4 linked regions of the Danio rerio genome follow. The protein of the gene in region 1 purifies or fractionates together with the protein of each later gene. This does not show direct contact. Links are inferred from orthologs where the notes say so. Each region holds a gene or a part of one and is shown in the gene's direction. Other genes may lie near its edges.

Region 1 (3,572 bases):
CTATGCTTTATAGGGGTATATTCACCACATAATAGGCAACCGGTTAGAGAATAATTCAATCAAAATTGAAGCTAGCTTAGCCTAGCTGCCTCATGTTCCAACCATTCAACAGCTTAGCTCATGCTCCGCAGGAGAGGTGAAGCTTAAAAATAATCTAATAATAACTAATTAAACCTTGATTTCTCTGTATTTAGCCAAAAAGCCTGATAGATTAATTGTTGTGTAATGAAATATAGCGTTACTGACGAGGAAACGCGCATGGACAGTGCTTTTACATAGTTCATTCACAGAAAGAGCAGCCAGAAAGGGGAAACTGATGGATTTGTGCCGAATATTAGCATCATTGACCCATAAAAATCTACAGTAGGATAAATGACTGAAAAACAGGCTGCGGGTGATGTATATTGATCGCAGGTGCTCAGTTTGTGATCATATCTGGCTTTTGTTCTGTTGATTTGAAGCTTGAAATAGATGGAAATATGAAGTTCAGTAAAGTTAGCAACAGATTCGTATTTTCTGGATCAATAACTCATGTCATCTTGACCTATTCACTATTAATATGACGAAGTTACTAATGTTATGGCGAAGGCTTAAACGGAGCATTACTCACAATATCGAGCGGGGGGAAAAAAAAAGGAATAAGACAGCTGGGGAACATGACCTCTTAGGGTGAGAGGTGTGTGAGTTATTGCTGTCAGTCTATCACTGAATGTGCGAGGAATATCAAAAACAAAACCAATTTAGCTCTGCTCCTTTAGCGCCCTTTACACGGCTTGATCCACGCTGGCATTTCTCCTCTTGGGTTTTCGGTTTTGAAAAGGGAAAAAATCCCACCATCCCGTCCAAACTTTAAGGAGACCGGGTATCAGATTTGCACAATCCTTATGCACTCGCTCGAAAGCTTGACAGAGCCCCAGCGCGTAGCTACAGTTGCTAAGCCACGATTGGTGGGTGGCGGTTTTTGGGTGTGGCTTAGCTTAGGGTCAATTGGCCCTATTTGAAATTCAATAACAAAAATATCAGTATTCACACTGGTGTATAAGGGGAAAAATATTATAGGCTATTACAATTTACTACTTGTATGTTATTTGTTATGCTCTATTAAATAGTGTGAGGATTGCTGTAAGGCGAATCAGTGAGTCTTTTTTTTGTGGAGAACGGATTACAAATGTTTTTGGTCAGCTAGGGCTGTGGTCCTCAACCTGTTTATCACCGCAGAGCGGTCAACGCTTGACAATTTTACCGTAGGTTGCTAGGCGACCATTACCCGTTTTCTCAGAGGATGATAAGCTGAAAAAACGTTGCTGTCGCTCTGATACAAGTTTTATTTCTGGAGAAAAGTAGAAAGCACTGTAGTGTTGGTGTGTTCTGTGTTTGTCTGGGAAAATGTGATTATTCCGAAATGTGAATATTCCATACAAGTTGAAGCTAATCAATCAATTCTTGTTACGTGACTCGCGGTGCGCTCACGGCCCGGGGTTCATTGGTGCGGAGTGTCACACCGCTTGTGCGCACCTCCATTGGAAACAACAAACTTGTGCAGACTCTAGAACAGGTGTGGGCAAACTTGATCCTGGAGGGCCGGTGTCCTGCATAGTTTAGCTCCAACCCTATTCAAACAAACCTCCATATAGAGTTCAAGTGATCTTGAAGACATTGATTAGTTTGTTCAGGTGTGTTTGAATAGTGTTGGAACAAAACTCTGGAGGGACACCGGCCCTCGAGGATCAAGTTTGCCCATCCCTGCCCTAGAAATACGCGATATGTGAATGGCCCCTAAAAGGCCGCTGTCATTTGTGATCTCCATCAGTTGATCTTCTTGCACAACCATGCTGGATTCACTTGATTTGTTGACAAATGGGTTGCGAATTTATTCCTTGGCAGTTCCTTCACTTGGCTTTTTCCCCTTGGCAAATAAACTTTCCAAAGACGTCTGTTTCTTACTCATTTTGCTGCTTTTGGGTTAAATTTGGGTGCTGAAGTTTCCGAGACGTAAGCCAGAGAATACAGTAATTTTTTTTAAAATAAAGGCTTTTCAAATAAAAGATCGTTCAGACTCGGATAATAAATTAAACAAAAATAATTCATAATTTTTTGTGCGACTCTGTACCAATTAATCCAACGACCAGTGGTTGAGGACTACTGAGCTTGGTGATAAAATGAACTAAGGCAACATGATCATTCTTCGAATTGTCCACTGCCAAGAAATTTTTTAAATATGACGCGACCCCCCCCCAAAGCTCGCTGAGGCCCCCTTGTGGGCCGGGACCACCCTGTTGGGAACCGCTGCTCTAAAGCATGAAACTGGTGGAAATGCGTCAAAATAAAGACTTAAATATAATAGCGACAGGCTAACGAAATTTATGCTACAACAGTAATGCATTACCAAAAATATAATGACTGTTCTGTTCAAATATTCAACATGAACTGTACACGGCCTTTAGCAGTGGCAGAATACTTAGGAATTAAGCCTGGTTTATACTTCTGCTTTAAGTGTCCGGCGTAACCCACGGCGCATGCAACGCGCGTAGCTGTGCATTTATACTTCTGCGCGCTGTCTCTGTTGGTCTGCATTAACACTTCCGAAGCGCTAGCTGGCAGTGATGTGTAAATGTTCCTCTGTGTCGAGTTTCTTCGCTGCTGTTTTGTTTTCCTGAACACTTCCTGAATGTACAAGTGGCTCAAACTCGCTCATTCTGAGGCAGGAACCGGCGGACGTGCAGCAACTTTAACTATGAGGTAAACACAAAACTTTCCATCCGGAGCTCCAACACGGGACTCCACACTTGTAAACAATCGCTCCATCAGGCTTGCGGCATTCGTGCGGCTCTCGGTCCCGCCCAGACTCGTCAGCGCTACCAAGCCGACCAATCGCAGCGCTTGCGCTACACGTCATTGCAATGTGTAGTTACATTCTTTGAGAGGTGCACGTCAGCGACGGCCACGGCGTAGGACTATGCGTCAACGCAGTAGCATACGCATGCGTTTGACGCAGAAGTATAAATCAGCCTTAAGAAAATTAGCATGCTCTCTTAGCATTTGATCTGAACGCTGCACTATTGTGTTGTTTTTCTATCCTCAGATAAGCGCGCTCGTGTTCTGGATGCTGAAGGTTTGGCTCTCGGTGCTCAGATCGCCACGTCCAAAAAAAGAGAGCGAGACCTGATTGACGGCTCCTTCCACAGGTCAGATGGGCCTGTTAGCATGTTAGCCGCCAGCTAATGCTGGTGAGCTTCAGAGAAATAACGTTTATGTTTCTACTGTAGGTTTGCCAACTCTGAGGACATGACCGAGGTTCCGGCCTGGTTTGTGGACGATGAGAAGAAGCACCGAAAACGGCCGGTTCCTGTGACCAAAGACATGGTGGAGGAATACAAGCAGAAGTGGAAAGAAATCAACGCTCGGCCAATCAGACGCGTGGCGGAGGCTAAAGCCCGCAAGAAGAGACGGGTCAGAAAATACACAAAAATACACTACATATACAGCACACTCTAAAAATACATTGTTATGCGTGTATTCAGTTGAAGTCAGAGTTTCTAGCTCTTTTATTTTCCCCAATTTCTGTTTAATGG
Region 2 (4,082 bases), on another chromosome or scaffold:
ATTAAGATAATTAATATGCAAACAAAGCGAACTCCCTATTTATTTAGTATTTAGGACATTTAAGAAGATGTAAATATTTATTAAAACATAATAAAATGGCACAGCACAACCTTGGTCAATGCCGTTGGGTAGATAAGTTATTTATTACAAGTAAAATGTTAAGATAATTAATAAGCAAACAACGCAAACCCACTATTGATTTGTTTGTTTGTTTGTTTGTTTGTGTGTTTATCTAGAATTTAAGAAATTTAAGAGCATGTAAATATTTATTAAAACATAATAAATAGTACAGCACAGCCTTAGTCAACTCTGTTGGGTAGATAAGTAATTTATAACAAGTAAAATATTAAGATAATTAATAAGCTAACTGTAAACCCACTATTTATTTGTTTGTTTGTTTGTTTGTTTGTTTAGTATTTAATAAATGTAATACAGTGTAAATATTTAATAAAACATAATAAATAGCATAGCACAACCTTAGTCAATGCCGTTGAGTAGATAAATTATAACAAGTAAAATATTAAGATAATTAATAAGCAAACAACGTAACCCCACTATTTATTTGTTGTTTGTTTGTTTGTTTATTCATTCATTAATTTTTGGCTTAGTCCCTTTATTAATCTGGGATCGCCACAACAGAATTAACCGCCTTATTTATTTGTTTATTTAGTATTTAACAAATTTAATCCAGTGTAAATATTTATTAAAACATAATAAATAGCATAGCAAAACCTTAGTCAATAAGCAAACTACGTAAATTCACTATTTATTTGTTTGTTTGTTTATTTATTTCTTTAGTATTTAAGAAAGTTATACAGTGTAAATATTTAATAAAACATAAAAATAGCAAAGCACAACCTTAGTCAACGCTGTTGATAAGTAATTTATAACACGTAAAATATTTTGATAATTAATAAGCAAACAACGCAAACCCACTATTGATTTGTTTGTTTGCTTATCTAGTATTAAAGAAATTTAAAAGCATGTAAATATTTATTAAAACACAATAAATAGTACAGCACAACCTTAGTCAACTCCGTTGGGTAGATAGGTAATTTATAACAAGTAAAATATTAAGAAAAATAATAAACAAACGACGCACACTCAGTATTTATTAAGTATTAAAGAAACTTAAGGAAACTCAGACGTTTATTAAAACATATTACATAACATAGCACAACTGTCAACGCCGTGAGTTTAGTTGACTTTTATTTTGTAGCTTTTGCAGGCTTTTATTTTGAATTGTCGCTTGCATTAGCAGTTTCCTGAACGAGGCACAACGTGGTTTTAGGAGAAGCCATACGACAGTAGGTTCAAAACGTTTAGCTTTATTTATTTGACCACTGTTAGATTTCAATATGACAGAAGGCAAATCATCAGACAAGCCGGCGAAAAGACTGCTGGCTCTGAATCCGAAAGAGGACGCAGAATTTCAGAAGAAAGTGCAGCAAGTGAAGAAGCGTCCTCAAACGGTATGATGCGTGGCCATGTGGCCTTAGTTTAGCCTGACAGTGCTTCAGATTCACATTTAAAACGTGGTTGGAACAAAATGTTTCTTTTAATCACTAATATGCTGTAGCTAGAGTTAAGTTCGGTAAGATGAGTCTTGTTTACACTTGACGGTGCTAATGTAATGTTACTATTTGGTTTACGGTGCACATGTTACATTCAATATTTTGTTTTGCATTGAATGCGCTTCATAATTTGTTTTGGTCCTCTTTCAGGGTCAAACACTTAGTCCAGGAGTGCTGTATGTTGGTCATCTTCCTCGAGGACTGTTTGAGCCTCAGTTGAAATCTTACTTTGAGCAGTTTGGCAAAGTCTTACGATTGAGAGTTTCCAGGAGTAAAAAGGTATGACGTGCATTTGATTTATTACCTTAGTTTATAATGACATGACGTTAAATATAAAGTAAATTGCTCAATACAAATGGTCAAGACGTTCTAACGCGGACTTTCTGAATCTAATACATGTTAAAATGTTAAAATCTTGCTTTATTTATTAGATAAATTGTTTTATTTTGTGTTTGCCAGTACTAGTATATCTAAACATTTTTTAAAGGGATAGTTCACCAAAAAATTCTGCATCAATTACTCTTTCACTACTTTCTCCTCTGTTGAACACAAAAGGAAACAATTTGAAGAATGTTGGGAACTTAGCATGGAATCCCATAGTATGTTGTTCCTGCTATAGATGGAGGTAAAGTTGGTTTTGTATTAGAATATTCAGACATTCTCCTTAATATAATTTTAGAAAAGTATTCTTTGCAAATTTTAAATAGGAAAATCATATTAGCAGCAAATGACTAACAAAGTACAGCATTGTTCACAGCGAATTAGATAGTGTTGATGTTGTTTTGAAATCAAACATGCTAGTTCAGACTCGATATTCAACATAGCGTGGTAAACAATATAGAGACTGCTAAATGAACAAATGTGCAAATATAAAACCAACTTTTCCTCCATCTACTATAGATGCCAGTGGTGGCTGGGTTTTCAACAATCTGTAAAATGTCTTTTGATAAAGTCTTATGATTGAGTTTGCAGGAGTAAGGTTTTAAGCATTTTGTTACATTGGTTTGCAATGACCTGATGTTAAATATGAAGAAAGGTGGAAGAAGTGTGAGGTAAATGACAGAATTTAGATTAAACTTTTCATTTACGTAGGGTTTATTGGCAGATATTTCGTTTAATAATAAATTAAATAACATTTGGCCAATTTCACAGGGAATTAAGCTTTCTTTACTTTTGTTTTACAAATAAAATCAGCAAAAGCCCTGTAATTTCCAAACAAACCAATAAGAATTCTACAAGGAATCCTATAAAGAAACGCATAAGATCCTCTTGGATAAATACGTTTAATCCAATGAGGCCCAATTTGATTCTAAGAGGATTTTTAGAGAAATCTTATTTGATTCCCAGCGGGTTGCTTTCAGATAATCATCGGCTGCATCTGAATTGTATACTCTAACCATTTCTCATTAACTTTATAGTAGAGAAGTGTGCTTTTTTCTTTATGTAGCTGTAAACATTCTATCAGGATCTTGTGTTTTTTTTTTCTTTCTTTTTTTTCTCGTTTTTAATTTCTCTATATAACAACATGTTTAAAAGGCACAATCTGAAAATTACCTTTGGCATTTTGTTGCGATGGGTAAGATTATTGTGCCAACATTAATTCGGTACATTTAGCTTATTGCCAACTTCATGTAGTTGTGCAATGAAACCCATGTGCCTACATTAATATCACAATAGTCATATTGGGTGATAATGCTTTGCTGGAGGTTTTACCTCATAAATGATTGAACTGTCATCTTTCACAGACTGGTGGGAGCAAAGGCTATGGATTTGTGGAGTTTGAGTGTGATGAAGTGGCTAAGATTGTGGCTGAAACCATGAACAACTACCTTATGGGAGAACGCATTATAAAATGTGAGATGAGAGCATACAAGATTATTAATCATTATTTTTTTTGTCTGTGTGTGATGTTTTTTTATGAGTAATGCTGTGTATTGTACTTTTCAGGTCACGTTATTCCACCTGAGAAGGTTCATGAAAAGCTCTTTGTCGGCTCTATTGCTGGCTTCAAGAAGCCAAAGTATCCTGCAGTGACTCGGTATAACAAAACACACACAGAAGATGATGTGAAGAAAGTTGGCACAAAGCTTTTAAGCAAAGAGTCTAAGCTGCGCAAGAGACTGGCAGCAAAAGGCATTGACTATGATTTCCCAGGATTTGTAAGTACTACAGTCAGAGTATGTTTTAGTTGGGACTTTTAAGATGTTATCATTAATTTGATCATGTTTTTTTGTTTGCAGGCAGCACAGATTCCAGCTAAAAAGGCTCCATCAGAAGCAAATGTTTCAGTGTGCAGTGAGGTTAGTCTAATCATTTTAATTCAGCTTAATTTTTTTACCACTTCTGTATCTTGGCATATACTGAAAATTATTTCAGTTGTAACCATCAACTGGAGTAAGATAACTGTGCCGACAGAAAATGGTACATTTTAAGCTTATTGTCTGTCACTTTGACACGCAATGAAACCCATGTGCCAACAGTTACTGTAGTGTACTCTATTTTTTTTTA
Region 3 (3,090 bases), on another chromosome or scaffold:
AAAACAACAGATTTCCGCGCCAAAGTGTCTTCCCGGGGAAACTCGAGCAGCGGATATGACGTTCTCACCAGCCGACCAATCTGAACAAGTTGATTCGAACTGTTGTAGACAGACTTTATTCAGTGTATTTTTTAGCACATTCATTTTTTTATATCGGAGACTTGAGTTTTTTGTTATTTTACAATTAAAGATCATTTTGTTTGCGTAACTGAACAGTAATGCAAATACTACTACTACTACTACTACTACTACTACTACTACTACTACTAATAATAATAATAATAATAATAATAATTATAATAATAATAATAATAACAAGTTTGTTTTTGTTTGCATACTGTATGCAGAGGCAATTTCCAGATTTTTTCTGTTAGAATTTTCAAGAATAACATTGGCATCAGTTCAGAAATCATATTATCAGTTCAGTATCACTTGTTCAGTAATAATATAATCCAAACAGATCCAAAAAATCAGTTTTAAAATCATACCAAAAACACAATTTAAGTATTATTAAGGATAATTAATTATTTTTAGATATTTGTAGTGGTCGATGATAAAACAAATACAACCGTGCGTGTGTATAACTGCAACAAAATAAATAAATCAATATTTCTACCACAACTATGGGTTTCACTTATAGGTTTTACTGGCATTTAGAAACCAATCATTTGTCCCAGGTTACACATCCACAGAACCGATATATATCTAAATAAATTTAATATTTTATCAAAACGAACCATTTGCTCCGTATGCTTAACCCACCGGTTCGGTTCGGCTATAAGATTCACGCATCCACAAACTGAATCACTGAGTCAGGTTCGTTTGAATCATGTCTTCGAGCACTTCAGGTAACTTCTGGCATGTGGCCACTTTATTGATTCTGATCACAAAAATGTCGACTCTGGTGGGACTCGAACCCACAACCTTTGAATGACCCCATTCAACAATCTAGAAGTCCAATGCGCTATCCATTGCGCCACAGAGCCGATGGGACGTCCTGTCGGTTTATCGCTACTCCTGCATTCGACCGAACAACTTTCGTCCGAAGTAAGTTAGTTAGTATCATAAACATATACACTTAGGATAAACGTTTTACTAGCTAAAACATGTTTAAAGATTGTTATATTTCTTTAACTCATTTGAAATGTTTATTTTATTTTTTAAGTTAGTTTTTAGTTCTTTTATTTTGAAATACCAGACTTCCGCTTTTAGCGGCACATGTGGGAACCCACGTTGTCTGTCAGTAGAACCAAAATGGCTTCGTGCAGTATTGAAGACGTGCTCGCTAAAGCTGAAAGAGACGAGGCTGAGAAGCTCAAAAGTATTACGGTGCTCAAAGAGTTGGATCTTGAATTCGACCCGGGACTTTTGCTGGCGTTTGACAAGAACCGACTTGACACACGGGACTTTAAAGGCAACAAACGGGAGGACTGTCTTCGCTCTTTAGCGCGAGACAACACACAACTTCTCATCAACGAGATATGGAAACTACCCACAGAGAGAGTCGACGAAGTGATCGTCGCCAAGCTGCCAGAACCGACCACTAAACTACCCAGAGAAAAACCAGCACCGAAACCTAAGCCTCCTACTAAATGGGAACAGTTTGCCAAGCTGAAAGGCATTCAGAAGAAAAAGAAGACCAACTTGGTCTGGGATGAAGTTCACAAGGAGTGGAAGAGGAGATGGGGGTATAAACGTGCCAAAGATGACACCAAAGAGTGGTTGATTGAGGTCCCGGCGACTGCAGATCCAAACGAAGACCAGTTCGCCAAAAGGAATAAAGCCAAAAAGGAAAGAGTGGCCAGAAACGAGTACAACAGACTCAAAAACATCGCCAGAGCTCAGAAGGTCAAGGTTCCTGGAACAGGACTCCTGCCTACATCCCAGCAGACCAAAGCGGAGCTGGCACAAGCGGTCAGTCTGGCCAAAATATCCACCGCATCGGTTGGCAAATTCCAGGAGAAGCTGCCCAAGGAAAAACCAGCCAGAAACACTGGGAAGAAGAGGAAATTCCAGCCTCTTATTGGGGACTTCAGTAGCGAGAAGCAAAAACAGCTGGATTTATTGAAGGTGATGGACAGTAAGAAGCCCCGTCTCGATATCACTAAAGCTGTGAATAAGCAGATGAGGGAAGAGGACTCGGAGTCTGCTCGGAATAATAAGAAAGGGTTTGGAAAGAAGGGACGCAAGGGAGGCATGCCTGGTAAAGGAAAAGGCAAAGGAAAACCTGGAGGAAAGGGAAAAGCTCCTAAAGGCAAAGGGCGCAAACCTCAGATGAAGCAAGGAAAGCGCTAACATTTAAAGCAGTGTGGTGGACTTATGATGTTTATTGTAGAATATAATAAATATTGCACACGACTCAACTTCTCTTAAGTCATGACTTTGAGTGCCTTGCGGCTGGAGTTTGATTCAGTACAGGAATCGGGTTTGTTTATGTGTTTAGGCTTTATCTACATATGTCATGGATTAAGATCATTGAACCGTTTTCATAAATGTCATCTAATATTGACTCCTGTTATTCATTCGTAATTGTGTTTTCACATTAAATTAAAATTCTTTCTGATTTGCCATCAGTTCCTGGTTGGATATTGTGAATAATGAGGTTATATTTCATCCCCAAAGTTATTTAAAAATGAGTATAAATGTGTCAAAGCCTGCTGTTAATGGGTAACATTTGTACTTAAATAGTATGTTCTTATAATGTAATATAAAATATCATCAAATGTGTATTTTAGAATTATAAAGCTAAAATATCACCTTAAAAAATTGAAGCTAAGATTCAATTAATAAAGTATTTGAGCAATTTTAATGAAAAGAATATGATTAGATTTATCTTATACCATCAAATAGAGGAGACATCCCATTTCAGTGTCTACCTAAGTTCACAAATGTGATTTTTAATTACAGCAATCAAATTAAATCTAATTAAATTGTTTAGTGATTTAAATAACTTTTGTGAAATTAAAAATATGAGTTAAAAACGCTGTATTGTCATTTAGTGTTATGTGAAAATGAAACCTACTGTTATTCTGATCTGTGATGTGACAAATATGTATAAAATAATAACTTAAAGCTTTCCCAGAGATGGGT
Region 4 (3,002 bases), on another chromosome or scaffold:
GCAGATATTGCAACATTTTAGAGGAAAAGTGAAACAGGTAGATGTAAAATGTATTAATCTATATTTTAAAAGCTAAAGTATGTCTGCTGAAATATGCCAATTTTCTGTCCATTTGGTATGAGATTTGATTTGTCTCTATAGGTGGAAGAGAATGAGTGGGTGGTAGATTATGCTCTGAAGAAGAGAAATGTTAAGCTTGTCCCCACTGGATTGGACTTTGGCAAAGAGGGATTTACCAGGTAATGAGATCTTATTTGAAATTCATCAACAGTAATAAAGGTTATAGTCCTAGAAATTAAGTTCAAGTGTGTTTGCCAGAGAAATTATAAAGTGCATTTTGAAAATCTTGATCTCTTCTCTGTAGATTCAAAGAGAAACGTTTCCATCCTTCTCTTAAACTGTCTCGACGATTCTACCCCCACTCTCACAACATGGATGGGTTTTTTGTGGCCAAGCTAAAGAAGCTGTCTAACACCATCCCTACTGCTCCAAAAGAAACAGGTGTGTGCTTATTTCAAAAGATTTTATCCACAAATTTGTATTGTATTTTACTTCAATTTTTCAAACATATTCCTTAGAAAATCAAGAAGAATCACTTGTAATGGAGACTGCAGCTTTATCAGAGATGAAAGAACAGAAGCCTGCTTCAACTCCAGAAAAAAGCAGCTTTGAAAAGAAACAGAAATTGAATCCTCAAACATCCAAGCCACTCATCGTTAAAAAGAAAGCTGAGAATAAAAAAACTGGCCCCAAAAAAGCCAAAATTGCCAAGCTGGATAGTGAAGCTGCAAAAAAGTTTGAGAAACCTAGCAAAAAACAGAAGGGAAAGCAAATGAATGGCAATCCAACAACAGAGGGGATAAAGGAGAAGAAAGAGGGCAGTCCATTCAAGAAGAAAGAAAACAAAACCAAAAAGAAGAACCTGCTGAAGAAAAAGAAGAACAGAATCGGGAAAAACAAATTTAAGAAGTTAAAAAGTATGCTTGGACAGCAAGAAAGTGGCCAGTGAACTTTAGTCATCTGACAGTAAATTGACATGGACCTATATGCTCAGGACTGGGATCTGTCAGTGGTTTGACCCAAGACAGTAAGTTAAACCAGTCCCAGCTTGCTGTTGGGGACTCAAAGATCATTCTTTAGTAACTTACACAGTGAATTTGTGTATTTATACTGCTTTTCAAGACTGTCAACCTTACTGATTCACCAAGAAGGTTACTTCAACCTTCTTGTGATATAAATGTCATAAATGTAAATGTCATTGTCTGCTTTTATTTCGTAAACAAAGAAACATTTAACAGAAATGCTGCAAAGAATGTGATATGCCAGTTTTTTTCATCACACTTATTAAAAAAAAAAAAGTAAAAAATATATAGTTTATTGGCTTCCTCTGAGAGACTGAAATAGTTTTCTGCCTTTTTAATCTGACTCTTATTTTCTGCCTTTGAGGACATCACCTCAGAAGTCGGATCACAAACTATTGAGGTAGAAGTGAAATTTTTCTTTCAGACCGAGTGCATCATGAGTGCTGTTCAGCAAAACCTTTTGACTTCTCTTTTCACATCATTTGGCTCCTGCTGCAGAACATTTGTCAGTGTGCAAAAAGTTTTCTTCAGGTTCAAATGGCTAAAACGCTCTGTGGATGAACTTCAGCTATATGCTATCTTTCTTCCTACCCTTTTGGCCAGATGCCCACGTAACCATAGTAACCCGCATATCGTATTGTGTGCGGCGAAGCCCTGAGCTCATACCCTCTGAACTGTGATACTTTCTCTGTGCTTTGTATGGAATCCTTCTGTCTCCACAAAAGATGGCCCAAAACGCCATAATTATCGCTGCTTGTTCCTCCCAAAGCTGTTAAATCTGTTGAAATGTAGTGCATGTGTAGGCAAAGCGTTTATTTTAATCACACTGCAGTGATTACATGCAAGGAGATAATTTAAGGTTGTGCCTGAAGGGTAAATGAAGCCATTGAGCAGGCCTGTGGGTAAAACGCATTAGATCAGAGTAGTTTGGCACCCAGTTGATTAAGTGGTATTGTAGAAGGGTAATTATCATTCACCTGCACATATGATTGCAGGGATGGAGTGTCCAGTCTGTGTTTAACAAGAACTACCTCTTCTGTTTTGTACTGTACTGATTAGTTTTTGTTTCTAGCATTTAACTAATCTATGCTAAAGTTATTTAATTTATTTAATGGTGCTTGCCAAGTAACGCATTTTGTACTAGTTATTTGAACAAAGCCATAATCAGTGGAACTCAAGAGTGTCTAGTTTAAACTGGGCTAAAAATTTGTTAGAAATTAAAGCTAATTAAGGAAAGGTGTGTTCTTATGTAAAGCAAAACGCAGAAACCATTTAGAAATTTAGCATCTCCTGTTTCAAATCTCTGCATGGGTTTAAGTTCAATTAAAAAAAATTTTAAGACTAAAAAATTTATCAGAAAGTTTGTGAAGTGATTTAAATCTACCTGTAGTTGTTGAGGCTTTAAAATAAGTTTAGATTATTACGATTAACAAGCAGAGCTGTTTGTCTGTCAATGGATGTCTTGCTGGGTATTCACCATGGATGCTAGTTAAGATAGTTTTACAAAAATAGATCATCACTTGATTGTCTCAAACTCAATTCCTGGAGGACCATAGCTCTGCGCGGTTTAGCTTTAGCCACCTCCAACTCACACCTGCTTAAAAGTCTCTAGATTAGTTGGATCAGCTGTGTTTGATTAGGGTTGGACCAAAACTGCAGAGCTGCAGCCCTCCAGAAGTGGAGTTTGCGACAAGTTTTATTGGATAAGGTATTACTTCCACATAGATTTTTAATTACTCCTGCAATGAACAATACTATGTCATAAGCCTATTGGGCCATTTGAATGGCAGTAAAGTAATGCTGCTGTCATACTGGAGTTTGAGCTTGCGAAATTCTGTAGTATGGTGCTGTGAAAAAGGGCAGGATTAAACAAGATAATTAGTGTAGTGGCACACCTTTCGTGCAAATCCTTATGTATCA

Evidence for each region.
Region 2: the proteins of ftsj3 (region 1) and nifk fractionate together in Homo sapiens (co-fractionation; 3 studies listed by BioGRID, with this or other methods). This does not show direct contact. The link is inferred for Danio rerio from reciprocal best matches to the Homo sapiens genes FTSJ3 and NIFK.
Region 3: the proteins of ftsj3 (region 1) and rrs1 purify together in Homo sapiens (affinity purification with mass spectrometry; 3 studies listed by BioGRID and IntAct, counting the BioPlex papers as one, with this or other methods). This does not show direct contact. The link is inferred for Danio rerio from reciprocal best matches to the Homo sapiens genes FTSJ3 and RRS1.
Region 4: the proteins of ftsj3 (region 1) and nop2 fractionate together in Homo sapiens (co-fractionation; 3 studies listed by BioGRID and IntAct, with this or other methods). This does not show direct contact. The link is inferred for Danio rerio from reciprocal best matches to the Homo sapiens genes FTSJ3 and NOP2.

What each region holds. Positions count from the first base shown.
Region 1 is NC_133197.1:3,328,823-3,332,394, forward strand, and holds part of ftsj3 (pre-rRNA 2'-O-ribose RNA methyltransferase FTSJ3), read left to right. Parts: intron 1-3,082; coding exon 3,083-3,185; intron 3,186-3,266; coding exon 3,267-3,450; intron 3,451-3,572.
Region 2 is NC_133184.1:39,870,104-39,874,185, forward strand, and holds the start of nifk (MKI67 FHA domain-interacting nucleolar phosphoprotein), read left to right. Parts: upstream 1-1,251; 5' UTR 1,252-1,358; coding exon 1,359-1,472; intron 1,473-1,724; coding exon 1,725-1,853; intron 1,854-3,112; exon of another isoform or gene 3,113-3,239; intron 3,240-3,319; coding exon 3,320-3,428; intron 3,429-3,521; coding exon 3,522-3,733; intron 3,734-3,814; coding exon 3,815-3,874; intron 3,875-3,929; exon of another isoform or gene 3,930-4,056; intron 4,057-4,082.
Region 3 is NC_133199.1:27,758,320-27,761,409, reverse strand, and holds rrs1 (ribosome biogenesis regulatory protein homolog), read left to right. Parts: upstream 1-1,245; 5' UTR 1,246-1,254; coding exon 1,255-2,295; 3' UTR 2,296-2,573; downstream 2,574-3,090. UniProt on the Homo sapiens protein: Involved in ribosomal large subunit assembly. May regulate the localization of the 5S RNP/5S ribonucleoprotein particle to the nucleolus.
Region 4 is NC_133191.1:17,311,392-17,314,393, reverse strand, and holds the end of nop2 (28S rRNA (cytosine(4447)-C(5))-methyltransferase), read left to right. Parts: intron 1-141; coding exon 142-239; intron 240-364; coding exon 365-501; intron 502-578; coding exon 579-1,009; 3' UTR 1,010-2,431; downstream 2,432-3,002. UniProt on the Homo sapiens protein: S-adenosyl-L-methionine-dependent methyltransferase that specifically methylates the C(5) position of cytosine 4447 in 28S rRNA. Required for efficient rRNA processing and 60S ribosomal subunit biogenesis.